4 linked regions of the Lepisosteus oculatus genome follow. The protein of the gene in region 2 purifies or fractionates together with the protein of the main gene of each other region. This does not show direct contact. Links are inferred from orthologs where the notes say so. Each region holds a gene or a part of one and is shown on either strand. Other genes may lie near its edges. The genes, in order: atp6v1ab, atp6ap2, atp6v1f and atp6ap1a.

Region 1 (7,903 bases), on a different chromosome or scaffold from region 2:
CAGAGTCATACCTATCCCCAGCCTGCGATAGGGCGCCAGGCAGCCCAAGGTCATGATGTAGAGCCTCTTCTGGTTCTGAGAGTGATCCACCCGGCAGCACACTGCTCCCACTGCGATGTCATTGAAGTACGCTGAAACACAGCGGAGAGCGAGAGTGAGCTCTCGCCCATGAGCACCAGCGCCCCCTACGGACCGCACCCGCACCTGCACCTGCAGGCCCTGCGCAGACACGCCACCCCCACCCTCCTCGCGCACGCTCGCCTCCCCGGCCCACGTCTCGCTGCCCTTGCGCGGCCCTTAATCACCCCCCCCCCTCGCACTCCCCACAGAATCGAGGACACCCCCAGCTCCACTCACCTAGCTTGGCCAGCTCCCCCACCTCCAGCACGTCCTTGTAGAACTTGTCGTTGTAGCTGACTGGGAAGATCACCTGGTTCAGCCGCTTCAGCTGCTTAATGTTGTGTGGCGTCACGTCTCCCAGCTCGATCCGGCTACTGGAACAGAACCAGACTGGTCAACGGCTGTGGCGTGCCCACAGTGGACACCAGCTGAGCACCACTGCCGTGGTGAAAACCCCTTCCCAGGATCGGCAGGAAGACCCATTTCCAATGCATTTCCTGCGCTGCGCAGACATTAACTGACTAACTTTGTGATCAACGAACAAACTATTTAATGCTGTAAAGAATTTTCCCGTCACAATGCATCTCACTGACGCACAGGCAGGATCGGAAACTCCAGGTGTGGCCGTGCGTTCTGTGGTGCTCTTGTATGGAATAGCAGCATGGGCAGGGGGCAGAGCAAAGAGGGAAAATGAAGACTCTGCCTGCACAGCAGTTTGATTCTTTGCAGGCTAAACCAGTACAAAAGAACAAACCGCACCGATGAAGCAGAAATGCAAATATTTTCAAATGACACTAACAGCACGCGTCTGTCCGTGCAAACGTATCCGCAGACCTGACAAAAGGACTGAAACGTTGATACACCTGGGTGCTGTCTTGCACGGGTGAGCCACGAGCACATGAGCTCAAAGAGCACTGAAAGAGCTGCCCAGCTCGCCAACACCTCCCAGCTGCTCCTCGCAGCCCGCGAGCAGAGCCAGGGCAGGCGGCAGCTGTACACACTGCTATCCAGCAGAGCCCACAGCCAGGCCAGCTTTTACACCGCGGAGCTGGACGCACTCCCGCCAATGTCCATGCTCTCCAGGACTGGCACAGCTGCCTCCTCTCAGTCCAGACCGAGCCCAGAGTCTTCGAGCTTGGATGTGTTCTTCAACGAGGGGACCAAAGGTCATGGAAATGTGGGCAAAGAAAAACTATGAACCATGTCCAGCAAGTGAGCGCTGGGTTCACAACTGCACAAATTAGCACCACTTCAGAACTATCACCTCTCTTCAAATCCCAGTCCCGGCCATTATTACTACAGTCCCGTTCTCTTTCAAAGCGACGGCGTGCAGTTACGTTTACTGTTGCCTTTTTCGTTTTCCTGTTTGCACGGCAGAAGGTTCTGAGCCGGACCCCAGCTCACAGAGCAGTGGGAATGGGCTCCAGGCAAGCGAAGTCTCTCAGCCGAGTTGTCACAAATGAGAGGGGCCCAGCCCATTTGGTGGTTAGTAGGCAAACTGATCCAACGATCTCCTCGAGTCAGGGTGTTGCTCAGCCTGTTCCATAGGAACTGTTCAAGCCCCTTTGCTGCAGGATGCCCCTGGGCACCGCGCAGCGTCCACAATACCGCAGCTGAGCCGTCTCCTTCCCTGGCGGCCGAGATCTGAGGGCCGGTGCTGAACACCGCACTCAGTTCCTCACCACGCCACGGGCGTGCCGAGGGTCGACTTCCGTTTCTTTGTGCAGAAAAACAGAAACACGGGAGCAAGACACAAAAACAGCTGGGTAACTCCGAGAAAAAAAAAAAGACTTCAGCAAGCAGGGGGCAGCCATTGCTGTCGATGGCAGGGGGCGCAGACTTGAGGAGAAAAGTCTCAGGCAGCGAGCGAAGAGAACCAAGTTGGACATCCATTGCTCAGCTCAGGTCAGACTTGGCCCTTGTTCTCCTATTGAGCTCTGCATCAGGAACCCCCACAGGACGACCGCACGGCCGACGGGCTGGGAAGAGAGCTGCCCCCTCCTCGGCACAGGGCCCACCCGCCCTGGCTGGACCTGTGCCCCAGGCAGCCCCGAGCCCAGCGCGCGCCCTGGTGTATTTATAGGGGCCGGCCGGGGCTGGAACTCCATTTTTAAACCAGCTGCCCGGGTCACGAGATACCGCACCAGCTGGCGGCAGGAGGGCGGCACGCGGCGCTGGCAGGACCCCGCTCTGTCCAGGGCCCCCCGCAGCGCATGCCACGCTGCAGCGCCTCGCCCGGAGGGCAACCCGGGGCTTGTCCGAAACAAGTGCTTTGTACAGGGGCGTCGAAGTAGCCTTTTTCACTCAAATGGCCTCCTCTCTCTCTCTCTGCGAACTTCTTAATGTACCAACGTTTTTTTGGTTAATGAACAGGATGGGCCTCCTCTCATTTATAACCCCCCTCAGTGACCTTCAGTTACAGTCCAACACCTCAATCAAGCGAGCAAGCCCAGACGCACAGGCAGGATCGGGAGAGACACAGACACCTGCAGACATGCTGTATGGAGTGTCTGATAGGTCTGCCTGCAGATACATCTTCTCGCCTGCACTCCACTGCGAATGGGGGGGGGAAACAACAACATCCCACTTAAATTGGTTTTGCTTTCTCTTCGTGAAGAATCATGTTCACGAACCCCCACCCAGCATGCACTCGTCAACCAATAACACGGCCACTGAAGGCTCCTGTCTGCTGGTTTACCTCCGAACCGCCCTTTTAAAAGCAGCTTTTGGGTCAAAGCTTCACAGGGGCCAGGGAAGCGCTCCCCACCCGGCAGTGGGGGGGTAAACAACGAGACAGGTGTGGACAGGTGTCTCGTGGCGGGGGTGGGGGGGGGTTTCTTCCTCTACTGCTGCAGCGCGCGCCAAAAGGCGTCCCGGGCTGGGCGACCCCGCACGCGCCCGGACCCCCCCCCCCCCCGGATTTTACCTGTTGATTTTTCTACAACAAATAACAGTCGATCTACTGGTGACGCCCCGGGGCGGGGGAACGTGTCTTAACCTTTTAGCCAACGCAACCGTGATACACAACGAAGACGTCGGCCGAAGCGCTATTACACCCCCAAATACTAACCGACCTGCGTCCGATATCGCCCACTGCGTGACTTCAGAAGGGATCCAACGGACAATTGTGCTCAAACACACCTTCGTTAACCCATTTAGTACACTGTTTTAAGGATCTTTCACTATCAAGACACAGGCGGAAGAAAAAACACTGGTTATAAAGTTAAGGGGGGTGGGGGGAGACTTGAAAATTAATATTTACAACAGCAAACGCTTCTACGTTATTTTCATTTTAAAAAACACACACACACACAATACAGAAGGGATCCGATTAAAACAAACAGCGGTTTTGTTTTTCGGCCGGTCCTCGCGAGGGAAAACCAAAACGGGGATTGGGAAACAAAACCCCAGCGATCCTACTTTTGCCATCTTGGGGATGAGAAAACAGGAGCGACACTCGCCGCTCGCTAACCAGGCGCCCGGCGGTCACAACGCTTCTGCTGGCGTTGGCAGATTCCTGCTTCCCACAGCAGCACCAGGCGAGCATGCACACAGCAAAGCTCATCGCAACACCCCCACCCCTCTCCGGAAAAAAAAAAAAAAGAGAGAGAGAGAAAAGAGGAGAAAAAAAAAACTTTATCCGTGATGGGGAGAGAGGCGTCTCGGCGGACGGCGCCTACTCACCCTTTCATGGTGGACAGGAGTTGTTTCCCGGGGGTGTCGCGGTCAAAGCGGAGGGCAGCGGCTCGTCCTTGGGGGGGATTCGGGCTGAGTTCGGGTGAGGATTGAGCACCGCTGTCAGCCAGAACCACATGGATCAACTTCGCTCCCCCTCCGCGCGCACACACACACACACGGCTGAACTCTGACCCCGCTCGCTCCGCACCCCCCTACCCCGGATAAAAATATTGCCTTCCCCCGCGGAGACCCCAAAACCGCCTGCCCGTCCCCCAACGCCACCCTGACGCGGTTTGCGACCGGTTTTCAGTGCGTGAAAATATTTTGAAAATGGGATTCGATTAAGCGACGAATTTAACGGCTGTTTTTTTAAAAAACGTCCAAAGGCCGTGACCTTTGACTCGGGCCGACGTTGCCGTTTTCGATTAAAATATTTTAACGACCGCATTTAAAAAAAATAAATTGATTGCGAGGAAATGCGACAGTATGTTTAAATGTTAAAAATCATTTGAGTTGAACTGAAGGAAAATATCTAATCCAACAGCGAATCGGATAGATCACGTGACCAGAAATACACACACGTGCCCTCCCGTAATATATCTGAATATTTCTTTACGCAATTATGGAAATTAATGAACTAACTAATCTGTTATTTTACTGACAGGCTATCTATTAACAGCTACTGTTGGTATCTTCAATGGCAATTATTCAAAAACAGTTTTCGAGTATACTAACGTTATTATAAATTTGGGACGCCGGTTACGGGTTAATATTTTAAAAAATATTTTGGTAAGATAATGACTCCCTACATGAGACGCATATTTTTGAATAGTTAAAAGCTAAGTACATCATCCTTTATGAATCATAATAGTGTTTTAGTTATTCAAATTATTTTATCAAGAACTAAACTGGATAACACGCGTTCGATAAAGTTCCTCCAATATCCCATAATGCTGTTTTCTTTCAATTTGACGGAGGGTGCGAAATATATAGGGGAAGTGACGAAACTGGGCCTAAATCATCTCCATCTTGGCTCTAGAAACGGCTTAGCTTAGCGGTGCAGCCCAGCATCCAGTTTTGAGCCAGTATGGTGTCAGTTTCCTCTCCTGTCGAAGGGGTAGTTCAGCCTGCGGTGAATGAAGTCAGCTGACTCCCCGATCTCTCGCTTTGCTGACAAGTTCCTTGCTGGAGGAGGGAGAGAAAAAGCTTTAAATAATTTCGTTTCTCGAAGGTAACGTAACGGTATTTGACTCTTTAATCACTGTTTTGTATGTGTTTAGCCGGTTTTATTGTGTTGCTGCGTGTCTTAAATTACATTTTCAATGAAATGCAGATTGTAAGTCGGTAGCAGACCTATGCGCCGCTGAAGTGACAGGCTGGACAGCTGATCCATATGTGCAAAATAAACACTGCGGGTTTCTGATGTGAATAAATTAAAACAATTTTCATTTCACGCTTCGTGCGGCAGTACTGTCACAGGCCTTCGTTTTTGTTTTTTTCTTTTAGCTGTCGAAACCGTCCTCGGCCACCATTGCACTGTACGGCAGTTGTGAAAAAAATAATTGAAAACAAAATGCAACATCGGTCCTTCAGTCGTATTAAAACATCCTAACCGTACTGTAGTCCAGTAAGCGTCTGAATTATTAGCAGACACTCTTCCATATCGGCTAGCATGTTGTGCTCGTCAGATGGAGACTCGGTGTGATATACCGTATTATGAAATAATTTTAGATTACGCTTTTTCGATGAACGCTAATATCTGAGCGATCACAATTACAGAGCCGATCGTATTTTTGAAGTGTCAAGATGCGAGTTCACTGCGCAACAGAGGTTTGTTCGTGGGTGCAAACGTGTTTTCGGACGCATTGCTGGTAAATACCGCTGGGCTTGCCAGGGGTCGTGTAGGTTTCAGTTTTAGAGGAATAGGAATAATTGCAATGCGGAAAGATGTCTCAAGTTAAGAATGTGTTGCGTGTTTACGTCGATGGAGGATAGCTAACGTATCCTGACGGGTATTGCTGAGACGAAGTACCCTAGACTAGATTTTGTTGAACGGATTCAGACCTCAGAGGTATCGGCCTGTTTTACGGGACTGAACTGTAGCGGTGACCGTCTCATTCCCCGTCTATGCATTTAGTTGCCTTCGCTCTGTCGGAGGGTTGGCTCGTCTTAACAAATGTGTATTAGACACGATCGACACGTCATGTGATCGAGTCAGCAGACCGGGCGAAATTTTCCGAAGGGCGCTCAGCATCTTTATGGGGTGTCTGGAGTGGGGCTGGGTGTACAGTTGCTGCGTAACAGATATATGGGGGTCCATCACATGCCGGGCGGTATCAGAACTGCATTCCCCTAAAATGTATTCTATGATCTGACGTAGAAAACGGAGTGATCTATTATGAATGATGTATTGTATTGTAGTCCATTTGTATCATCTGATCGGTCTAGCAGTTTTGTCATTTTGTTTTACATAAAAGTGGTGTGGATATTGTAAGGGTGATGTGCCCCGAGTATGGTCTTCCATTCCGGGTGATGCAGGATAAGGCAGGGGTTCCCAGCTTTGCTTTTGGGGTTCCCCCACTCCTGCTGGCTTTCTTTCCAGATGGGCTCTTGTTGGCACAGTAGGACCCTTGCTGTAATAGTAGAACTCATTGAAACTCTTTGACTTGGCAAACAGGAGTGCCTGCTGTTCTTCGTCTCCAATGCACTGGCCTCTAGTTCCTGTTTCACTGCTCGTTCAGAAGAGGCCGACTGGGCTGACTTTGTCTGTGCCCTTGAGGACCCTCAATACTCCCTTGAGTCACCTGCCCTGTTCATTTCATTTGGCGATGGTTCACCATCGCTGACGGCAAGCTGGACAGAGGCTTGGAGGTGTCCATTGAGCCTCGTGCGCTGTGACGCAGCGGGACTGTGAGCTCCAGAGTGACAGAACCTCGGCTGGGTGGGTTTGTGGTAGGGGAGCACAGCGGTGAGTCAGTCTCACGACGAACCTAATTTCAGAACCTGCATTGCAACGAGCCAGTGCCTTTTTTTATATAGGAATGCTTCAAGAGCATGTGCTTACTACCCTCCTGTGAATGAAGTATGAGCAGTTTTCAGGGATGGGTCAAAGATCCCGATTTTAATTTTACACTTTTGGCACTACTGTGCTTTGATGTGGAGTGTTAGTGAACTTGGTGGGTTTGACGGAAGATCAGTGGAAACTGTCTGTAAGTGAGTCATAACCGTGAATGAGAAGGTGACTCTGATGCATTGTTCCATTTTGGAAGTTCCTTTAATGTTTCTTTCTTTTATAGCATGATCCTATGCAGTTGTTCCACTGTCATGTAATCGCTACCTTGTGATTCAGTGCATAGGTCTGGGTTGGATAAACAAAGGTCCCCCTTTAGGTCTAATGATGGCCCGAGGGGTCCAAAGCTGCTGGCTGGTGTCCTGCACATGTTCATCTGCACCAGATTGTATTTGTGCCGCAAAATCTGCGCAAACATGCTGATCTTGGGCAAAGCCTCCAAGTAAACGTCTTATGAGGTGCTTAACAAAACAGACAACAATACTGTACCAACGGCCAAGTTGAGTGAAGACTGTGTCCAGACCCCTGCCCAGATCAGATTATCAGTGGTTGAACGTGCAGCCCAACCACAGATACTGACCAGTCAGAGCCAGAGGAGGTCACGTGACCGTGCCTGATCACACAGCTGCACCGGGAGGGGGGAGGGTGCCACATTGAGAGCCGAGCAGTGAGACGTTTTTCCCAAAGCCCCTTACTGTCGATCAGTTCATTATTCGTTCAGCTGGAGCCCACATCAGGGGGTCGGTCTCCACACGGGTGAGCGTAAATCATGCAGGCTGTCCATCCAGCAGCCCAGCCAGTGCGTTGGCAATGCCAAATCTCAACTTCAAATCTCTGCGTGGCTTTCATTTCAGCTCTCTTCACGCAAAGAGCTGTGTAGCAGGAGCCCTGTAGCACAATGGATAGGTACAGTACAGCAGGAAACCAGTGTTAGGTACCGTGACACTTCATTCTCGCACAGGTCTTCTGTGCAGCAGGTACGTCGTTGGTAAAATAACAAATCTGTTTTGCATGTTCTTTCCATGTTTACGTTGT
Region 2 (7,889 bases):
ACCAGTCTCTCACTCCGGGATCTGTGCTGGTGAGCATCTTTGCAGAAATCATGGCATAATCTTTCACTGGCACTTACATTCTCCACCGGGTAAGAGGCAAGGCTCTGGGGCAGGGGCAGGCTGCCCACTCCCCTGACCACAATGAGCGCGTTGGCCCGAGGACGCTGGAAGAGACTGCCCGTCTGGAGGCCCGGCCAGGACAGGTCCTGCACAAAACACACACACAGCGTCACGGCACCGCTCCACACAGCAAGGTGCCTGTGCATCTAGCAAGAACATTCACTGGCTGTAAGAGAGAGAACTGTTGTCATAGGTGCTGCTTACTTACATTTTCAGCTTTCCACAAAACATCACAAACAGATAAGGAACCAATATTGGGAACAATAAGGAAATGCTTCATTATACCAATAGGGATGGAAAAGCTTATTATTCTTCAAAAAAGGACAAATCCCAGGGGCCTCCTGAGTGAAGGAGCAGGTTGAGCTGTGTGGTCCAGGTGTCACGGGTTCAAACCCAAGTCACAGCACCGTGACTGTGACTGGAATTCAGCAAGTGGCGGTGCACAATTGGGTGAATGCTGCTGAGGCCAGGGTGGGCGTAGCTGGGCAGGGCTCTCTCAGCTCTTGGTGAGCACAGCGCCCCCTGTGGCCATTCGGGCACTTGTGAGTTTGTGACACTGTGAGGGATGCACCTTTTCTGCAGTTGGTGTAGATCCCCTGATAGGGGTAGTGTAGCCTGTGATGCGTTAAAAGGCATGTGACTTGAAGTTGGGTGGGTCGCAGACGTCTACAGTACATACAGTAACAAGGCTTTGTGGCAGACATTCACTACAAGACTTGCAGACGTTTTTTTCAGAAAAAAAAGGGGGAAAATCTCAGAGGAACAGAACCGAAACAAGAATGTCGGAAAACAAAAAGAAAGGCAGTACCTCCTCCACAGAGAAGCCCATGGTCAGAGCTGCCAGGTCAGGAATCCGTTCCGCAGAGAGAGGCCATTGGCCCTCCTTGAAGGTGATATACTGGGGGGCTTTCAGCACTGTGAAGCTGTCCCCAAACACGCCTGACAAAAATAAAACAAGAATTTAGGTGTCTGCTTACGTACAGATTTTTAAAAAATGGCAAGCAAGTTGAGGACTGTTAAATGTTTTATCTGTTGAAATTGCTGGAAGTGGTACCTGTTAAGTTGGGTATTTGTAACACTCAGGACTGTGACATAAGTTAAATACAATTCTAAAAAACCAAGCATATCAGTTAAATCAGCAATTAGCAAGGGAGATTTGGAGCAAAACTGGAATGAAGGCCATCAGAAATTTCCTCCAGTACCAGGATTGGGAGCTACAGATCACATGTGCTGTGAATATCTAGATGCCTTTTACCTTATGTAGATTGTCAATTCATGATTGATAGCACATCTCATGTATAAATATTATTCTAAAGTGTGAACCACAATTTGTTCAACTGTACCAAAGCTTTCTTTATAACAAGACCATCTGTTAATTTTGTTGTTGCTTGTCATACATAATTCTCTTAAAATAATTATATTCACTTCATTTAATGACATTGTGCTAATTTTCCCTCTTGCCAAACCAGATTTAAAACACGGGTTTACAAATGCGCCCCTGACAAATCATTCTCAGATGAATCAGCCTATGAATTCTCACACACGTGCCCCACAATCCTACAGTACGTGACCTACAATGCCAAAGGCTGTTTTTTTATGTCAGTTCCCAAGATCATTGAAGTTACTGAAGAGCTCCATCAGAGCATTTTAAAGGAGTCATATCCAACATTTATTTTTTTGTTTTGGCTTAATGCAGTCATGATATTTGCAACAGAACCAGACAGCTGAAGAGTAGCCTTGCAATGTGTGGCTCTGCTGATAGCGTACAGGTTGAACAAGCCTGGATTAGACAGCAATGAACAGACACGCACCTGCACGGAGGCGCACTGGACCAGGACTTTACCGCCTTGTGTTTTAAGGTCAACAAAAATCCTGTCATTCTAAGGTTTCAAAATAAAAACACCACTGAGAACCAGCAGCAGCAGCAAACAAAATATACTGTACTTCAGTAATCTGCCTACACAGCTATTTAAAATAAATCCAGTGTCCTTCTATTAAACCCAGCATAACGACAAATAAAAAACGTCGTACTGGGGATTCGATATGTTACAGTTGTGGTGCATTTTTATCTTGCTAACTAGACTAATAGATAAGCTGACAAAAAATATCGAATTTAGCACATTCTGCACTTCTAACTCTGCAGAGGAATAGTGAAAAGTATTTGCCTGTCTTATTGCTATAATTAATAATATCCAGGAAACCATTGCTCAAACTCGCCGGGCTTAAACATTTGGCGTTGTCATGTGATGATGAATGCTCTTCTCAACACTCATCAAACCCCCTCGTCACTTCTGCTTTCCCCCAGTCTACAGAAACTGCTTTTTAAAAAGGAAAACGGGCGAATTACAGAAGCAATTATCAAAAATTACCGATCCGATAGTAATAAACCTACTGGGTGTTTTTATTTGTGAATAATATCAATACTGGCAATCACTAGTTACGTTGCATCAAACCTAGCCAGGCAGATATGTTACATTACTGTTACCGCGACTGCAGACATTTCTATAACATCGAGTTTCAAGCGCAAAGCAGGTAACATACGAAACACGTCTCATCAGTTTTAATAATACGTTACTGTAATTCACGTAAATAACTGAAAATCTAGAAATGCCGCGGATCAGCTGATCAGCTGAACATCTGACATCGGTGTGACAGTCTACCACTGAAAAATGAAACAAACGCGATTCAGTATTTTTTATAGAGCTTTGCTTAAGACTTTAGGCTTAAATATTGAACAATCGCCGGCGACGCAAAATACTCGAATCCTTACCAGCTGACAAAGCAGCAAAGACGAGGCACACCGCCATTAGAAATCTTGCCATCCTCCTTGCGAGCATATAAACCACCATCTTTCCCCTCTTGGAGCAGTCGCTGAACGCCGCGGTGGGTTGTGGGTATGGATCGACAAAGTACCGCCCCCTCCTCGACTCAGCAAATGAGCCTGCAGGCAGCTTTGCTAGTGACCTATCGGCAATTGCAAGTGGACGACCATGGCGTCAAAATAACCAATGAGCGAGCCGTTGTGTGACTGACAGTGTTCGCAACCAATACCCGTCGACCCTTAAAAATCATCATATGACTATTCGTAACTATGCTTCGGTTTTCCGGTATTTTGAATGTAATTTTTTTTAACCAAAACTCTACTAAACATTTTGGTGCGGGCAGTTTACAAAATAAGAGAGACAACGAACTTGAATATGTACTTCCTTAAGCAACTATTGCTCTCTTTTGAAGATTATTTAAATAAAAAATAACTTTTTTTTTTTACTTACTGTTGACTAAAACAAAATTAATACATAATAATCTGTATAATAAACTACTGTTTCAACCTGGATGGACAACACATGCTGTGGTCCCATTAGGTAAGAATAGAGTAAAAAAAGTGAAAATGTATAGACGTTGAGCCCCAGTCACATCAATTAGCCAAGGCCTAGTGAGACAAATTAATCTAACTCTTCCCGAGATAGTCTGTCATTTTGTGCAAATTTCAAAGTTCAGCGGTGGCATTATTGCAGCTATGTGTTTTTTTGTTAGAGTACTGAAGGAACAGGAAATGTACCAATCCTTGTCTCACTTGAAGAAAGAATTACAGCCAGTTTGTCTGTAATTCGGGCTGCCCGGGCTGAAACCCCGACCCATCTCTGTGGCCTTCGAAGCAGGATACCGCCTGCTGGTCAGACGGTGAGTACAGACTCTTTCTCAGTCTTTAGGATTTCTTGTTTATATATGTTAAGGCAGCCTTGACCTTGGTATTCTTCAGACAAACGTATTCATTTTTTCTCCCTTTTCTTTTTTACAAGTCATATATTGGAAGTGTCTTGACATACTTGTCTCACTTGTTGGTTTGGCAACATCAGTACTGTTAACTGTCATGGAGGGGGACTAGTGAAAATAAGTAGAAAAATAATTGGACCAAATTAAATCAAATGACATGTCCTCTACAAACACAGGGTTGTAAAGACATCCAAGAGCCTTAGGCATTGTGCATTTCACCCCCTCCATTGTGAATTTACACTATTCCTAGGTGGGAGACATCTCTATAAAAGTAACAGACCCAGATCGTCTCACTTATCTGCAGTAACACTATTGTACAGCCTTCTCTGTTGGTAATGTTTGTCCTTCTTGTTGCACTGGACTGTGCCATTAAAACAAATTTCCCCCAGAAGAGAATAATTAAGCTTGAACTTGAACTGATACAGTGTGTGTAATTGCTTTCATTTCGTACAGTTTTGAAGTGCAGCTTCCACCTGCACCTGGGTGATGCATGGTAGCCCTTATGTATCAGTAACCTCACTCCACAGTAGAAAAGGTTGGACTTCTTCAATTGACTAAGGGTGACATCTAGAGAGACTAGATTGCACAAGCAGAGTGGAAAAATAGCCAGGACACCGGTGTTAACATGAGATCTTTATAATGGCCCTGTTGAGATAGCTGTCATCTTTCCAAGCCAGACTCTGCATTTGAACAGTGTAACTTCATAATATGGACATTATTTGCTAACACCAAACCACCTTCAATCAGAAATCCTCTTGCTCTTCTTTTCCCTGTGTTTGTGTAGATGCTACACACAAGCGTGCACACTCACCTATAATCTCAGCTGTTGGACATTCAGGGATAACACAGAGTTACATCTGCAGGAACTAGCACTGGTGATTGTACAGAATTTGTATGAGATGATGCTAGCCTTGAAACTTTCTTTAGGGCTGGCCTTTGTACATTTCTCTTCTACATTAGAATGCTGGAAGATATTAGTATACAATATCTTCAACATTTCATTAAGCACAGACATTTTTTTAAATTAAGTGGCACTTTTTCTGTGATCCATTCCAGAGAGCTTACTTCACATAATGAATGCCTCCATTATAACAAACACTAAAAGTGAGTGATTCAAGTGAGATGAAAGATTGCAGCAAAGGTTATAGAGGAAATGATAAATATGTATTATTGCCAAGGTCTTGATTTTCCTTACCATAGACATTGGGTCAATAACACTCAAGCCCAAATTTAAAACAAAGTGATTGCTTGGAGTTCTAGATTTCTGATGGCCTCTAAGAAAGTTCTGCTAAAACATAAAAAAACAGTAAAGCAGACTGATTAGTAAGGCTGTTTTGAAGAGTATGTTGGTAGCAAAGAGCATGGCTAAAAATTATTTGTCTCCCGTGAACTACATCACAGACGGATGCTAGAATGATGTTAGTTGTGAAGAATGTATACTGTGTCTTCGGTAAAATAACCACTGACTTTTGATTCATTCCTACTAATAATCAGATTGGTTTAGTGAGAAACGTGCTTTAATACAAATTACACTAAGTGAGGCCTTACAACAATGAACTGCGGTGTTGTACTGGTATATAACCTGCAATAGTACTATCTTGACTGAACCGACATTTCTCAGAAGCTTTGACATTTTAGATCCTGCTATGTATGGATAAAGCTTGAGTGTTTACCACTTAGACCATTTTTCAATAAAGGCAGGCTTAAAGTTAAGAATAAGGTGGTGTTCAGACGACTATCTTGATTTATACAAAAAATACAGTCTCGCAACATTTTGTGTATACCCTAAAATGAAAAATGCGACGTTTTGACTAAACAGGTTTTGAAACCGAGTCTCCACAGTGGGCGGGGCCCCGGGGGCGGAGCCTTCCCCTGCGGCGCTGCACCTTTGACACGCCCATTCCCTTATTTGGAAGGCTGACAGGCGTTGTCTATTAGAGCAGTAACTGCAGCTGAAGATGAAGCGAGCCGCAGGTGTGTCTTCAATAATAGATATGAGCCCGGGAGAGATGACTGAAAGAGAGACGGGTCCCGGGCCAGGGTAAACAAGAGAGGGGGGGGTTGAGCGTACAGCACCTACGGCTGAAGGGTTAGCCGTGAGTTGAAAGGCACGCCGGGGGTGAAAGCGGTGTCTTTGAACAAAGTGACTGTGGGCCGTGTCCAGGGACTAAGGATGAAAAACCTGGACCTTTGAGTTCCTGCGGAGGACTGGCCGGCGGTCTCCGAGCCAGTGGACAACAGCAAGTGCAGGGCTCGGAGGGTCTCTTCTGTTGTGCAAATGCAGCCCCAGCATCCACCGGCGGAGACTGAAAAGGCGCAATTAACGCTTTTTAAAAAAAAAACTTTTCGCAATGTGGTGGAGATTGTATGGGTTTTGTGAGCGTGCGTGCTCGTTGTGAGATGTCTGCGGCGAAAGTGTGTTCACGGTATTTTTTTACAAATCAAAATCAAGTGAGAGAGAAAGACGGATCGGCCGCAAAAGAAGACGACGAGGCCGACAGCTGCTGTGCTGAGAGGAGCCCGTGGGGAGCAGGGCTCCGCCGGGGGCGAGAGGGCTGTGTGCCCCGGGCTGCGAGGCGGAGTGCGGAGGAAGCTCAGGCGACACTTCAAAACACAACCTGCTTTGTGTGGGTGCCGGTCCGCAGCTCAATGCCCGGGTTGTTACTATTACAGCAACCGTGAAGACGCGATAGCCCGCAGCCCAGAGAAGGTCTAGGTGTGTTCGTTTATTTTCTCTGAAGCTGGAAGCACTGCCCGCACAAGACTAAATAAAGAGGGCAGTTCACCTCCCGGCTTGTGTCTGCGGTGTGTTTCTTTGGGGAAAGGAAAAGCGTCGATGATGGTAGCCAAGTTTCACTTGATGTATTGGCTCTGAAGAAGAGTTTGAAAGGGTTTTTTTTTTTTGAAGATTCAGCTCAGTCTGCCATCTTGGCTGACGCTTTTATCCCAGGCGACTGACGTGTACTGTACACCCATTTACACATCTGGCCATCTTCCTGCCACAATTAGGTTGAAACACTTTGCTTAAGGGTAGAACAGCTCTGTCTCAGCTGCTTTTTGAATATCAATTAGCAAATGCCCAGGACGATGCCTGTCCATTTTATAAAGTAGATAAATTGCATGGTATTTGGCCACATGCAGTTTGAATGTCCAGAATCCTGTGGCACACAAAACCATTCACAGTGAATAGCCAGTTAAATCTAAAGTGTTAGTTTGTTTCCACTGCAGTGATTCAGCTTTGATGCTGTTATTTATTTGTTCAGATCAACAGTTGTTGCAAAATTAGAAATCCTATTGTTCCAAAGATAAACCCTGAAAAAAAGTGTTGGCTACTTTAGCCACATCTAAACAGAGGCTGTTATATTTTTTTTTTCCTGAAGAAATGGCGGTCAGGAAGTCATCTTGGTCTGTGCAAGAACACCACAAAAAAGCATTACAATTAAAATAGACTTCCAGCCTCAGCAGACTGGTAAAACCATATTTTTATCACCCTTCCATCCATTTTCTAACCACGTTTTCCAATGCAGGCTCATAGTGGTGACAGAGCCAGAGCCTATCCCAGCAAGCAATGGGCACAAGGCAAGATTGACCTTGGACAGCATGCCAGGCCCTCACAGAGCACCCACAGACACAAACACACTCACACTGATTTTCCTTGGAGCCAGTTTATTTACCAGCATGTCTCTGGACTGCAGGAGGCAACTGGAGCTCCCGGAGGAAACTAACATGAAACCAGGGAGAACATGCAGACTCCACGCAGACAGCAACCCCAGGTCTGGAACTGAACCCAGGGCGCCAGCACTGCAAGACATCAGCGCTAACCACTGTGGCACCCTCTTACAATTATTTTTGCAGACCAAAACTGTCAATATTTGTATATGTTGTTTGGTTCCTGGGACATTTTAAAACAACTATTGCTTTGTCTAAGTATGTGACTGAAATTGCCCACATTGACCAGGTTTGTTCTTTCAAAGGCATATAGATCTTTGTGTCAT
Region 3 (7,502 bases), on a different chromosome or scaffold from region 2:
CTTTAATAACTTCAGAAATATAGAACCTCAAAATTCACATTTAGCAGATTGGGTCTATTAACTCCAAAGTCTATTAAAGTGAAATCATTTAAACGGAGGATTGACTGTAATCTGGTCATTTGCAGCTGTTATACATATAAAAATGATTTATAAATCACCTCTGTAAACCCATGAACGCTGTACATAGTGATAAAAAATATACAATAAAAAGCTAAAAATAAAATACAGTCACCGAAAGTCTGAGATTCAGTCCTAGGTTCAGTGAGCAAAGGACCAGTCTCAACTGAACAGAGCCAATGGGAGGCAGTGTAAACATGCAGGAGTTCAGAGAATGATGGAACAGATTACTTAGAGGCTTAAAAGTCAGTAACAAGATGTTTTATTGAATATATGACTTTATAGGCAACCAAAGTAGAGATCTGAATGTAGGAGAGATATGTTGCCAGGGTCTGGTGTGAGTCAGAAGTGTAGCTGTGGAGTTCTGGATACATTGTAACATACTAAGAAAAGTGTTAGGGAGCACACAGGGCAAAGAGTTACAGAAATCAAACCCTGATGTCATAAATGCATTAATCAAGCACTTAGCATCCAACATTCATAAAAATTGCCTAATGCTCGCTATATTTTTAGGTGAAAAAAGAGATCTTCATACATTTTGTGAAGTGTGGCTCAAAAAATAGAAGGTGTGACTCCAAGATTCCTGACTATGACTGGTGTCGGAATGAGGAAGCCATCAACATTTATTGTGAAGCTTTCCAGTTTTTTGCTACGCACTAGTAAAATGTAGATTTTGTAACTATTTAGCATTAAGAATTTGATGTCAACTAGAGCTTGATGTCACACAGACAAGAGTAACATGACAAAGGCTGGAGATCAGAGGGGCAGATGTTTTAATGTAAATCTGAGTATCATCTGCGTAACAACGAAACAGAAGACCATGTTTGCATATAATCTGATCAAGAGAACTCATATAAATTATAAAAAGCAATGGGCCCAAGACCGAACCCTGTGGCACACCATGATTGACTGGGGCCATAGAAGATTTATGAGGACCAAGAAAACAAAATGCTGTCTGCCAGTCAGATATGAGTAGGACCAGTTAAAAACAGTACCGTTGGATAGACATCATATCAATAAAGAATAAATGCACACCTTGATATTAATGGCAGCAAAAACAGTTAAGAACCCAAGTTAGATATTTTAAAACAGACATGGGAATATGAGGTGCACTAAAATGTCAACAATTTTAATAAAAATTAAATAGTTATAATGCAGAAAATGTAAATTCACCAGGCCTTCAAAAAACTGCTGTTAGAAAAGACTATAGTTTTATACCTGAATTTATCAACATTAATCAACACACCTGACTGAGAAAATGATCATATGTGACAAACTGAAGCATTCTAATTATTAGAATGTATGGCATAGTAATCAGCTGAATAAATTCTCTCAGCTATTTAGGGTTTTTTTTTCTTTCCCTCCCTTATTCCCACTGCATTCTTCAGAACCTCAGCAACAATGAAGACTGTGTGCTAAAATGTTAACAGTGAGGTTGCAATCAAAATCAGCCATGAACTGAAAAGGTAAGACATAAGATACAACATGGACTCTAGCCATTTTTTCTATTACAGTAAAGTTAATAACAGTTTAATGACAAAACAAAGGAAAGTCTTCAAAAGGAAATAATATTGGTGCAATCCTGTCCTAACGCTTTGCTGTAGCAGGTAATAGCTGCTAGCATAGGATGCTTCCCAAGCTGGAGAAGTTAACACAAACCATGGAAAGCAGGGTACCGAAGCTGGCTAGCAAAGCTCAGAAACACTGCATTGCCTAAGAGAACTACACTTCCCAGAACCCCACTCAGTGACTTCCTGGGGTGTGTCTACATTGCAAGTCACTAAGATGCCTGCAAGTTGTGACATTCTGTAGGTCCCACCAGGCACTGGTAGTTTCACTGGCGGTGGTCTGTGTAACTGGCGCACGCTGACAATCAACTCAAGTGGGATCCCTTATTTACAGGTTTATTTTTTTAAAAATGAGAAAATAAAATGGAAGGGTTTCCAGACGTTTTGTCAGGATGGCACAGGATACAAGTACTATAGTACAGCTGATAACAGGGAACTAACTACCAGTCCACACAAGGATGCTACTCCCATCTCCTGTCCAACAACTGTGACACCTAGTTACATAGGGTAATCCAACTCTGGACATTGTCCAGTGGGTTTTATAGGAATCCTTAAAACTCCAGCTTCTTTAGGAATAAGGTAAGTCTGCAACTTGGCTAATTAGGTAAATTCAATGAGGCGATTCAGGCCTAAAATAGAAAGCAAATGACCAAAAACCTTCTGGTTCTCTAGGACTGGATCTGTACACCAGCTACAGAGCAATTTCTAAAGATGTACAAAGTGGAACCTGTAGCATACTCAAAACTGCATGGGATCCGCGTAGGTTTTTACATTTATTAGAAAAATATTTAAGTACCAATTGGCCCATTAACGTTCATTTGAATTCACATGAATGTTCTAAAACCTTCTTCACATGTATCTTTGAAGAACATTAGTTTTCCATTAGAATAAATTTATCTACAAATGTTCCAGAGGATGCTGATGCAAATTGCAAGTAAAATAAGTGGAGGATGACATTTGATGTTTAGTGGTTATCCTTTTAAAGATCGTATCGGATCACTTATTATGTTTAGAAATATTTGCTGTAGCTTAGTTGCTATGGCAAGTACACTATACTGTATATCAAATTAATGCTCAGCCTAAAACTAGAAATTGGACTAGTTCTGGCATATTTGCAAAACAAATGTGACCCAAGTTAAAAATGTTATTAAATGCATATTTTAAATAACAAAATGTCTTTATGTAGCGTTACAATTGAAAAAATTAATCAATTCATTTTTTAAAATAATAAACAAAATGTGATATTACAAAGATTAAATGTGAAATATTTGCCACTCCAATTAAATGTAATTTTGAAATAGCAAGCAGGCCTTTGCCCTGTAATCCACACTGCAACAGAAATAATAAACTACCATTTTACAGTGCTATCAAAAACTCTGCAGCTTACCTCCACCAATTAAAAACAGACCAAAAGACAGACAACAGTTAATAGCATTTACAAGTGTCTAACAATTACACCAGAAAGAACATGAACTAAAAGCTGCACAGGAACAAGAGAGGTAGGACTTAAGACCTTGGGCTCATCTAGCTTGTTCGGATGATTGCAACCATTGTAAATCATGTGCAGGTTAGTGTACATCCCATTTTATAGACATTTCTGGAGACAGGAATTAATTTGACATATTCCCCTAAATGTGAAAGAAAACTGGATTTATAAATCAACAGAAATACAGGATAACAGGTCTTGATACGGGACAACACAATACCTAACACATATTGAATTTGTTAGCAATGTTTCATTACACGATACAAACAAACTGTTTCAGAGTGCTGTTTTCTCAGGAAAGCTGTCTAGAGAGAAAATTAAACTTACCTGTTTTCTTTATCCAGCTGATTGAAATCATGTTTCTTTACAAGTTGTTTGAGCTTGGTCAGATCCCCTGTAGAAGCAGCCTTGTGTAGCTTTCCTAGATCTTTTTCCTTTAGCTCATATCCAGCAGACAGCACACTCCCCGTGTCAGACGAATTGGGAGAAAACCCCTTTTTCTTCTTCGCAAAGCTAAATATCTTCTTCATCGTGAACTGTTTCGAGTCGGACAAGGGATGCACGACTTCATCGCCCTGCAGTGTCCAGGCGTTGTTCACTCAGGTGCAAAAGAAGATTCACCTTGGGCGTCTTTTCCATTCCAAAAATAAACCAGTAAATCGGATAAGGATAATGATGTCAAACTCATGAGTCTAGCAGAATGAGAAATAACACGGCGATTTATTTATTCTATTTTATTTTAATAAAATACATACAGTAAATATGCCCTGAGCAATTAGGATGTCTGATTATGATAGCATGTTTGCGATCACTGTGTCCTGTATCCCTAAGACCACATACTGTACATAAATACAATTTCAGGGCATAACATGCAAGGATAATAATTTTCCTTACCTTATCAAATCGGGGTTTCGGTGAAAAATGGTCGACAGTGTAAAAAAGACAGCAATTGCCTCATTTGGAGTTTAGTCGTTATCAGTAGTTAATTTACACCATACTCCCATAGCTGCACAATTCGTGTACCACCAACAGCAGCAGCAAGGGCAGGAGCTCAATTTACAGAGTCTGTAACCAAGGCAACCACGCCGTGCATCTAAAAACAGAACAGGATGGGGGGTTTAACAGCCTGGCATTACAAAAACAACGAAACGGGTTTTCTCGGTTCGTATAACCGACCGCCACAATATCATACGAACATATCATTGATCAAACTAGACTGGGAATCGGCTACGACAGGTCTTGTCTCCACTGGCAGTGTTGGTGCTCCGAGTCTGAATAATTCATCGTCATCTACAACCGCGACATTTGAATTTGTATCCAAGGTGTCAGGTGAGATTCAGCGTCTAAAGAAGTCACGACGTTATACGAGTGTAACCTGACTTGGTGAAAAAACAGCAAATTATACTCGTCTGTACGAGGTAAGATCACCATTCTTCCACTACTGTACGTAAATTTCTTCTTTCGGATTCACAGACAACGAATTGCAAAAACGTGGCAGAAGTCTCAATTTTGAGCGGAATATGCCAAGGTATGACACCAAATACAAACACTGAAAATCAGTACTTTCCAATCGGGTCATTCTATCATTGCAAAGATCTTGAAAGTTTCCCATTTTCAAAATGTCAACCATAGTCTTTGCAAAAATGAATACAAATATAGTTGTTGCGTAACTATTTAACCACACAGCAAACTAAAAAACAACATGGAGAATTAAAAATAGGATCTTTTTTATTAGAAAAATCTAGATTTATATACCTTGCCGTTAACTCTGATCATTCGTGTGAATATAAAAAAAATCATTCTCATAGCGTCAAAAATACATGCTCTTCATATGTCTTTTGAAAAAAAAAGCAATATATAACAAACCTAATCAATACAAATCTTTCCCAAATCCATTACTTCACTTTTCTCATAGTGACCAACTGGCATTGCACGTTGCGTGGGGACATAGTAACATAACTGTGTGACCGGCGGTGATCGCATCCAATCCAGTGCGTGGGATCGGTGAGCACTCGCCCGTTATCCAATAGTTCACAGGCTATAGTCCTGTGGCATAGAGAAGACCCGCCCACTACGTGCAAGTGTGGTTGAAACAGCATCCCTACTAAGGGTTCAGTCTTCTCTGAGCAACTGGTAGTTTGCAATGCTTGGGTTTGGGAGACGGAGCAGATCATATTACACTTTCATTAATAATAAAAATAAAAACAACAAGTAGAAGAAATCTAAAAAATAACTGCATTCTGTCACCCCCCACCAAAGTGTGACCCTTTTCACTTAAACGCCCAATCGGTCTTTTAGCTCGTAGCATACATATTTCAAAATCCTTTGTTTTTAGAGAATGTCGGTGAGCACTGCCAGATCTCCAAGTCCAGCTACGTTACCCTTTTAAGATGGGTACCGTAGATGTATCGTCTTAGTTGCTGGGGCACACTGTTGACCTTCGATCAAATTCAGTTTAGTTTTTTTATTACATTTTCAATATAATGACGCAGTAATATAATGCAAAATCTTGAAAATGTATAAAACAACTGTGTGCAGTAATGGTGAAACTGTACTATACTCTCCCATCTGAGCTGTTTGAACTCAGACCCTTTTATTCCCACCACTGCAGTGTGTGTGTATGGGGGGAGGGGTTATGAGTGACACAGCAAACCCAGTATTTCAATATTTTAACGAATATTGCATTTGGCAATTAATCCAAAGTTTTTTTCCGTAATGTCTTAGTTCACACATACTGTAAATTCGCTTACGTCAGCGCTCTAACATTGGGCAATGCTGACAAAACTCACCCACAAGATGATTTTAGTCATTTAAAATGGTTCTAACACTTTGTAAAATAAGCCTAGGTCTATATTTAATACACGAATTAGAGGTCCTTCTTAATACTTTTTCCGTTAGCAAAGCTCTCTCCAACGCCAGAGAAAGGACAATGGAAACATCTCCATGACTGGATTTTATCTAGTGTTCCAGGTATCGATGGTCGTTAGCGTCGCTGAGTCTGATGACGTAATTATCCCGTGACTTGTCAGGAAAAAGGAAGTACGGCGCGGTCAGCTGATCAGGCGTCGTTAACTTGAGATTTTTCAGGTGTTTCGTTTATCCTGAAGAGAGTATAACCGAAGAAAGTATTGTCAGACTCCTCTGTGAAATAGTCAGGCATACGTTTTTTGTCCAGCATGGCAGGACGAGGCAAGCTGATCGCGGTGATCGGAGATGAAGACACCTGCACCGGATTCCTGCTCGGAGGCGTTGGAGAGCTGAATAAGAACCGTAAACCCAATTTTCTGGTGGTCGAAAAGGACACAAGCATCACCGAGATCGAAGAGACCTTCAAGTGAGTTTGAGCTGGCCTGATTTAACAATGCCGACGAGACATATATATTTAGAGAATATATAATTCAAAATATTGTGTTGCAATAAGTGTGGTTAATAATTTAAAACACTGGCCATGACTGTAAGATCAGCATGGGGGAAATGATTATTTTCTTGGTTTTGATGATAGCCTTCTTTCTTCCATATCGCTAAAGACATGCTCGAAAATCCAGTTGCACAAGGTCAAATTTAAAATAGAAATGACATCTCTGTTAGTTAGTAGAAGACTTAAAAGTAAGTCTGCTTGAAAAGAGTACATCTGCAGAGCAATAACGGTATCGTTAATGTTATGTTCCAAGTTAAATACCTGAGACCTGCAAGTGTCAAGCATTACGGTCTAAATACATTTTAAGTTGAGCTTAAACTTTTGCAGAGCGTTATGTTTGCAGTATAAAAATGCTAGTGAACCGTTTTTATTCTAATACATCTGGAATAATGACACATCCTCAGTTCCTCCTTTTTTCCTTATTTAAAAAACGCAGCGGGCACGCAAGCCTTCACGTGCTTCTGTGTCAGATCGCCACTGCTGTGTGTGAGGCAGTAGGCTGGAGGTTGATGGCATGTTGTTTCTGTGATAATTTGTATGCAATTTGCATGTGTTCCTCATGATTAATCATTGCAGTCATATATTCTGCATACAGAGTGAGGCACAGAATGTGCTCGTGTTTTTCAAGATTGTATCCCCCTGAGTAACCCCTCTTTTTTTCATCTTTTTCTAGGAGTTTCTTGGCTCGAGATGACATTGGGATCATTCTGATCAACCAGTTCATTGCAGAAATGATCCGGCACGCTATTGATGCTCACATGCAGTCCATCCCAGCTGTGCTTGAGATCCCATCTAAGGAACATCCCTATGATGCTTCCAAGGACTCCATTTTGCGCAGGGCCAAAGGCATGTTCAGCGCAGAGGACTTCCGGTAAACCTCCCCGAAGAGGCAGAGGATGTCCTGAAGCAGATT
Region 4 (7,192 bases), on a different chromosome or scaffold from region 2:
CCTTTATTTTCCATGGCAGAAATAAAGTTGAATTCGGCTAAGATTACCAATTTGCTTGACAACATAGGAAAGGTTGATGACAGAGAAAGAGAATTACATTTTGAAACCTATAATCCATAGATCACTGGTTCAAATCTAAGTTAGGCCTCTGTGAACGTGCAGTTTTACCAGTGAATCATTTTGCTGCATATCTCGGCTATTTCCACCTTGGATTTACCACGTGACAAAGAAGAATATGAGCATGTAAGCACGTACTCCCAGAAGTAAGCACCCAAACACTTACTTCCAGATTGGGAAAGGCATTGTCTTGTTTATTTCCAAAAACACCTCCATGCATGGTGAAGTCATCTACACTGAGCTGAAAACCAAAAATTACAGTTATTTCCAATGAGCCTGTATAGTGCTGAAAGAACCCCTATCTTGGAAAACTCCAGTTTCATCCCCACTGATGGATATTTTCATCTCCAGGGCAATTTCAGCTCCACCTCCAAAACTGGATCACCTTTGCTAAACTAGGATGTACAATAACGTAATTGCAGATACAATTCCTGGGACCTTACTTCTGACAAGTGAATATTTAGCCATTTATGCATTGTATCATACACAGTTTGATAAACTGTAGTTGTTTAACGATACTTTTAAGTGTAAGCAAACACTCATTCATCCTACAAAGTGCTACTTATAATACTTTGTTTAATTAATAGATACTCAGTGCAAACATATACATGTACATAATAATAATTCTTTACACTATTATAGCACTTTTCTGGACATTCCACATAAAGCGCTTTACAGACAATCGTGACTCCCCTCCACCACCACCGAAGTGTAGAACTCATGTGGATGATACAATGGCAGCTAAAGTGCGCCAATACAGCCAGCACACATCAACTATCAGTGGGGAGGAGAACAGAGTAATAAAGTCAATTGATAAACTGGGATTATTAAGAGACCATGATTGGTAAAGGGCAGGTAATAGGCCCAGTACACCTCTTTTCACTCTTTTCAGGATATGCGTTAGGATTTTCTTAATGACCAAAGAGAGTCAGGACCTCGGTTTTATGTCTCATCAAAAAGACAGTGCCGTTTTTAACAGCACTGTGTCCCCACCACTATGCTGGGGCATTGGGACCTACACAGACCACAGGGTGAGTACTCCCTCCTGATCCATTATTTCCACTCTATCCCTTTAAGAAACTGGAACAGTTACTTAGCAAGGCAAGCCAGATAAATGCAACTGACACAGGAGGCTATTGACCCAGGACTTGAAATACAAGACAAAAGCAAGGTGTTGCAATTTTTTTACTTTGTAATGTTTTTTACTCAGTATAATCAACACTAACGTAAACATGAACAAGCAAGAGTAATATGTTATGATTAGCAACAGAAAGAAACAAGAGTTTTGGTAATAGACACTGATCTTTTTTTACAGAAGTTTTACCCAGCTGTAATTTGTTTGATCTGGTAGAAACTGGTTAGTACTACTAGCAGAGTTTGCAGAGAGCTGTAACTATACCTTTAAAACTAAAGAGAGAGGAAATGAAAGAGTGGCTATGAGATGTGTGTGGAGTGAGCCAGTTCCTCCTGGATGATCAGTCACACCATGGTGAAGAAATCAGCAAGGTCATGTGGACCATAGTCAAATTCCTGTTTTCAAAGTCTTTCAAAGCTCAGAAGACCTAGCTAAATAACACTTTTTTCATGAAAACCATTTAATTTATATGTGCCAATTAATTTATTAATTAAGAAGCCCAACCCTACTAGTAGGATCATGCATATCTCCCCAAAATGTCAGATCCAATTAGAAACACACCACAAAATATTGCTTTAATAGACCACTGTGTGCAATCTATTACAGAAGGCTTCTCTAGTCTTTTGGTGAAAATTAATAAATGCCTCCCTATGCTATGGAGTGTAGTAGCAATGTACCACAAATTTAAAGATGGAAGCATATACATATGTCTGAATGTGGTTCTACGACTGTTCAATTGATGCTGCTTTTAGTTCAGCAGGTCACATCTTCTTCCAGAACAACCTTAACAACAAACCTAAATGTTCTTTGGCTGATTCTTACTGCCATATTGAAGGAAAGGGCACTTCTGTGGCATACATACATGTAACTGTTTCACTACCTCTACAGACTTTAACTTAACTGAGTGCTAATGCTATCACCACACTGATTCCTTTACCTCACCTTGTCTTGCAGAAACAGCAGCACATTATGGGGGCTACTGGTGAGAGCAGAGCTCAAGTAGGAGACAAGCTGAGAGCTGGACACAATGTGACCAGCTACTGGAGCAGTCTGGGACTGCAGCACCGACCTGCAAGCAAAGATCGGCATCATTTTCGAAATCAGCAATAAAGAAAGCACAGAACAACCCAGTAAGGTTTACATTAGCCAGCTAGTAAATGCTATAAAACCCATAAAAAATATCATGTTAACCATGCATTGTGGGATGTCTCATATCAGACCAAATGCAAACTTTGTATACATTAGTGCTTGAAAAGTCATTTAACTGGAATTCACTCCTCTATTAGTTAAACTGTAAAGACATAAAAAGAGACAAATGTCACCTTATGTTAAAAGATTCTATATCTTTGCCTTGGTTGCATCACACAACTTTGTATGATCAATTTTCAAACATAACCTTAAATAACGTGGACCTATTTCTACCTTCAAATATCTTAAAAGTGGAATAAAGGAATGCCTGTCTAATTAAGACAGTTTGAGTGATATTACGTACAAACTACTGTCAAATTTCACTGCATTTCACGATACACAAATGGACAGCTGGTTACCGTCTGCGCTTCCGAAAATACACTTTCGCCAAATAATAAAATGAGTCCTTACCCTTGACTGGACCATATTACTACAGGAACCTGGTCGCTACAACTGCCCAAGCAGAAAACAGCGAACAAACCAAAAAATAACACCACCCCAGATCGCCTCTGCATCCTCATGTCGGCCATCTTGTGTTTTCGCAGCGGAGGCAATGACGTCTTCCTCACCGGCTGACAGTCATGTGAGACACACGACCCATGAGACCGCCCCCCGAGTCCTGTCATTGGTGGAAAAGCCTCTCGCACATAAACACGGTTGGTGAGACTTAATGTCAGCGGCACAGCGCTGCAGGTTGTGCTTTTCGGATGAGTGGAAGCACTGCTGTTACGTGTATGCCAAACATGACTGTGTTTTTAAATGAAACAAGATTCATCTCCTCGTGTGTAGCTCTTTAGAATTATTTTTAAGTCAAAAGAATTAACAGCTCGCTGTGCACTTGTATTCAGACCTTAACTATTTTTTTTAATACTGTTCATTTCAGCTTACTGTGAAATATAGTCCTAAAATAAAAAGTTAACAGTACATTAAAGAAGAATTAAGCTTAGTATTTATGAGAAATAAAACACAGAGAGGGGTGGAAAGCAGTGTGAGTTGGCGATTAGGTAGGAGGCACTGGAGAAAAGGCCTAGTGTGGGGCTTGAAAGAGAAGTGCTGTGGGTTAGTAGTAGAACAGGAGAAATTTAAAGAGAAGCAGGAAGTTTGGGCTTCCAGCAGAGAAATCGATCAAAGATTCCTTCCAGATTTGGCCTGCATTAACAATGAAAAGGACCAGGAGGCAGGCAGGCAGTGTGGACTAGTTTGGGAATAGTGGGAGAAAGGGAGGGATGCAGGGGAGGCTAGTGGTTAGAGCTGAGGAACTGAGAAAGGGGCCGTCAGTTTGAGCCACAGTTTAGAGCCGAGAGCCAGGAAGAGAGCTGGCCAGTGTATGCAGCTCAGGAACGTGGAGAAAGGAAGAAAGTGTGGGCTAGTGGTTACCGAGTTGAGGCTTGAAATATAAGAACTCGAATGTTCTATTACTGTGAGATTTTAATGTTCCACACCTACTGAGATAGGGAATACAGAAGCAGAAATTGATAACATTGAAATGGTTAAGTGCGATTGACTTGTGCACTCTCCTGGTGTCCTGCCTTGCGCCTGTTACTTGCCAGACTAGGCTTCTTAACCCAGGTTGTTAAAGTACCCTTACTGTACGTACTTATAGAGCTCTCTGTAAGAGAGAACCAGTGGGAAATTGTAACCTGAATATGTTAGATTTTGTTGACTGCTGACAATTAAAAAACAGGGATAATTTTAGAAAAGCTGGCTATGAAGGAATGGGGCAAATATTACAGGTGCCATGTTGGGAAGAGAGGAATACAGGTTAGGAAAAGGAAGGTCACCCCAGAATACTGTTAAAGGCTCAAATTAATTCTTGAAACAATACATTCCAAGTCCAAGAGTTAAGAAAAAAAGAGAAGAAAGAGTGCTCTACTTACGCTGTATAAGGGCCAAGATTCAAAGATAGAAATACAGCATACTGAGGTTTGCCATGAAATGACATTACAATTGTATATTAGAAAAATATTTTTCTCCGTGCTACAACAGAGAACTGTCAAAGCATGTCAATAGTTTTTAAGAACATGATAAATGATAATAGTTCACAAGAAGTATATTTTTACACAACAAGAGACATCAATAACATGTCCAGTGTTATACAGTAGAACAAGCTCCATAAGAATTCAGTAACTCCAACATAAATGACACAGATGTAAAAGCCCATATTTTATTAACTTGAACTAGGAACAGAATGAAACAAACTTTCTGAACTGATTCCAATAAGGCAGTACAAGATCTTTTTCTTCTTTAGTTATATTATATCCATATAATCCAGTTCAATCAGTTCCAAGTTAAATTTAATCACTGTTATAAAAATACTTCATATACAAAATTAAAAGGAAAATACAATTAAAAATAACTGTGACATTGCAGCTACTAGTTAGCTTAACATTATCTTATACATGAGAAAACCTCAAATACAAGTACAAAAGATTAACATCAGCTGCCAAGCCTTTTGGGCTACAGTTTAGGACATAATTAAAACAGCTTTATAAAAGATAGGGGACAAAACATCAAAAGTCTTATCAAAATACAAAATGATTAAATCCGTAACGATGGACTACCTCAGTTCATGTTCATATCTCTAGTTTTGTCTCGTGGCACATCCTATTGTGTATTGAGTACTCTCAACTGTAAATTCCATTTTCATAAAACTTTTAAATTAGTTGATTAGGATCTAGTATTTATATTTAGGGCACCTCATCTGTTCCAGTTTCCTGTTCAAGTCTTTTAAATTTTTTGGTTAGAAATTCATCTCTGCCTAGAATTACATCAGTCCTCTATTGCTCGGTACAGTATGGAGTGCCATTTGTACCCAGAAACAACACTTTAACAACTAAACATACCTTAAACTGGATTCCCAAACTGGCAGCCATTAAGATGTTAAGTAACAAGTGCATCTCTCCCTGTCCCTGCCAGGATTCAATCCCGGTTACTTGCAGGCTCTGAGCATGCATGGCACCTCTCTCTAAACAGTGAATAACTCAGACAGGTCAGAAGACTGAGACTACACTGTCTAGATTTCAGAGGGTGATGACGTTACTTCTGCAACTAGCTCAGTGTGCTGAGCACTGTTACAATGAATTATTCAGGCAGTTGGTGCGGCTCAAATCTGTATATAATGTTAAGCATTCTGTTGTTTCTTCTGGCAAACATTCCAAGAATCTCAGATTTCTAAATAACAGAAACATTATTATAGGTGTTCCTATCTCTATAGTAATCTATCAATTTTTTAATCTCTTAATCCAATTAAGGTTCATGGAGGATCTGAAGCCTCAGGTAGGGTATGCCTTGGATGGGACATCAGTCCATCCCATGTCTCACACTCTCACACACTCTCACACACCAGGGACGATATTCCCAGAAGTCAATAAAACTAGATCTATATTTTTGGACAGTGGGAGGAAACTGGACTACCTGGAGGAAATCCATGCAAACACAGGGGGGGGACTTACAAACTCTGCAAAGGTAGGACCTGAGCTCCAGTACTGCAAGGCAGCAATGCTAACCATTGCACCATCATGCCACCCACCTCATCTATATTTTATATAACATGAACACGTATCGAACTGCCATGTATTTTATTGTAAATATTGTAATAACCTTCAGAAACTGTTTGCTTTGGGGGCCCAAAATTCCATTGTGGGTGTTGACTGAAAATCTTAGTATCAATAGGAAAAAAGAAACACAAAAGAACTACAAATTGGTCAACAACTGTTAACAAAAGTTTGGAAAGTTTAGTTAAGGCAAAACTACATCCAAACTGAAACCTCCCATCAGTGTAGCTGCAAGGTGACTGCTGATTATCGGTGCAGTAGAGGCCAGGCTGGGTGAAAGTATAAATATTTCATGGACAGTGCTGTGCATCCATTAAAGTCCTGCACAGGTTATTCTACCCATTGCAAATAAGTCCATTGCCCAAACCATGGTCATATTCACAAGCATTTACCAGTGTGATATGTTAGAACTTCATAATGAGCAAATATGTACAACTAACAGTGAAATGCCACATTCAAATATGGAACATGTCTTTTACAGCGGTTTCATTTATACCTTCTGGCATATCTTGTTAAACTCCTTCTGCAAAAGTCTCTATTGCTCTGTCTGCTAGACCAACATGTCACTCTGTTTGATGTGCTCTAGGGAAATCACCTTCCAAAAATTAATCAAGACGATGTCAGAAGCATCCAAACAGGATGCATTCCAACTGTATAATAAACGTATAGATATGCAGATATATATAGGTATAGTTAATTGTACTCTTATTCATAAACAAGTCCAGTATTTTATTTCTTGAATAAGTTATATTTTTTATAGATATGACCAAGCTGTGCATTGAAAGATAAAACAGCAGATACCAACAGTATCTTCTGGTCCTACAGGACACAAATACTGAACAAGCTGACACTGTAAAGCCTTCAGTGAAGATATCAGGTTTACGGTCAACAAAGAAAGGAGGTAGCCATGTCTTCCTTAAAATAATATTTTAACTTTTATTCTCAATGCCATTTAACTTGACATTGATATTTAAATGTAATGTCAATGCCAAGGCCTATTTTAAAATCAATCAGCAAAGATTACTTCAGAAATCAAATATCTTTTTTAGACAAAACACATCCCTAAAAACCACACAGCTGGACAAGAGAAACCATTCAATACAGACCTATTGATGATTTTATTTTTTTAAATAAAAGGATAGATATTTTCACTTTCAGAATGTTCACTTGGCTCAGCAAACCACAGATCAATGGTCTC

The links.
Region 1: the proteins of atp6ap2 (region 2) and atp6v1ab purify together in Homo sapiens (co-immunoprecipitation; 3 studies listed by BioGRID and IntAct, with this or other methods). This does not show direct contact. The link is inferred for Lepisosteus oculatus from reciprocal best matches to the Homo sapiens genes ATP6AP2 and ATP6V1A.
Region 3: the proteins of atp6ap2 (region 2) and atp6v1f purify together in Homo sapiens (affinity purification with mass spectrometry; 3 studies listed by BioGRID and IntAct, counting the BioPlex papers as one, with this or other methods). This does not show direct contact. The link is inferred for Lepisosteus oculatus from reciprocal best matches to the Homo sapiens genes ATP6AP2 and ATP6V1F.
Region 4: the proteins of atp6ap2 (region 2) and atp6ap1a purify together in Homo sapiens (affinity purification with mass spectrometry; 5 studies listed by BioGRID and IntAct, counting the BioPlex papers as one, with this or other methods). This does not show direct contact. The link is inferred for Lepisosteus oculatus from reciprocal best matches to the Homo sapiens genes ATP6AP2 and ATP6AP1.

What each region holds. Positions count from the first base shown.
Region 1 is NC_090700.1:4,083,488-4,091,390, forward strand, and holds the start of atp6v1ab (V-type proton ATPase catalytic subunit A), read left to right. Parts: upstream 1-4,896; 5' UTR 4,897-5,029; intron 5,030-7,903. Other genes in the region: naa50 (N-alpha-acetyltransferase 50), read right to left, coding at 12-131, 358-494, 3,805-3,812. UniProt on the Homo sapiens protein: Catalytic subunit of the V1 complex of vacuolar(H+)-ATPase (V-ATPase), a multisubunit enzyme composed of a peripheral complex (V1) that hydrolyzes ATP and a membrane integral complex (V0) that translocates protons.
Region 2 is NC_090710.1:21,887,425-21,895,313, reverse strand, and holds the start of atp6ap2 (renin receptor), read right to left. Parts: upstream 3,003-7,889; 5' UTR 2,970-3,002; coding exon 2,891-2,969; intron 1,060-2,890; coding exon 929-1,059; intron 207-928; coding exon 78-206; intron 1-77. UniProt on the Homo sapiens protein: Multifunctional protein which functions as a renin, prorenin cellular receptor and is involved in the assembly of the lysosomal proton-transporting V-type ATPase (V-ATPase) and the acidification of the endo-lysosomal system.
Region 3 is NC_090702.1:45,635,442-45,642,943, forward strand, and holds the start of atp6v1f (V-type proton ATPase subunit F), read left to right. Parts: upstream 1-4,497; 5' UTR 4,498-4,589; intron 4,590-4,926; exon of another isoform or gene 4,927-5,175; intron 5,176-6,346; 5' UTR 6,347-6,347; coding exon 6,348-6,505; intron 6,506-7,262; coding exon 7,263-7,464; 3' UTR 7,465-7,502. Other genes in the region: ankrd26 (ankyrin repeat domain-containing protein 26), read right to left, coding at 3,499-3,701. UniProt on the Homo sapiens protein: Subunit of the V1 complex of vacuolar(H+)-ATPase (V-ATPase), a multisubunit enzyme composed of a peripheral complex (V1) that hydrolyzes ATP and a membrane integral complex (V0) that translocates protons.
Region 4 is NC_090697.1:67,059,048-67,066,239, forward strand, and holds the start of atp6ap1a (V-type proton ATPase subunit S1), read right to left. Parts: upstream 3,012-7,192; 5' UTR 2,971-3,011; coding exon 2,852-2,970; intron 2,322-2,851; coding exon 2,195-2,321; intron 359-2,194; coding exon 284-358; intron 1-283. UniProt on the Homo sapiens protein: Accessory subunit of the proton-transporting vacuolar (V)-ATPase protein pump, which is required for luminal acidification of secretory vesicles.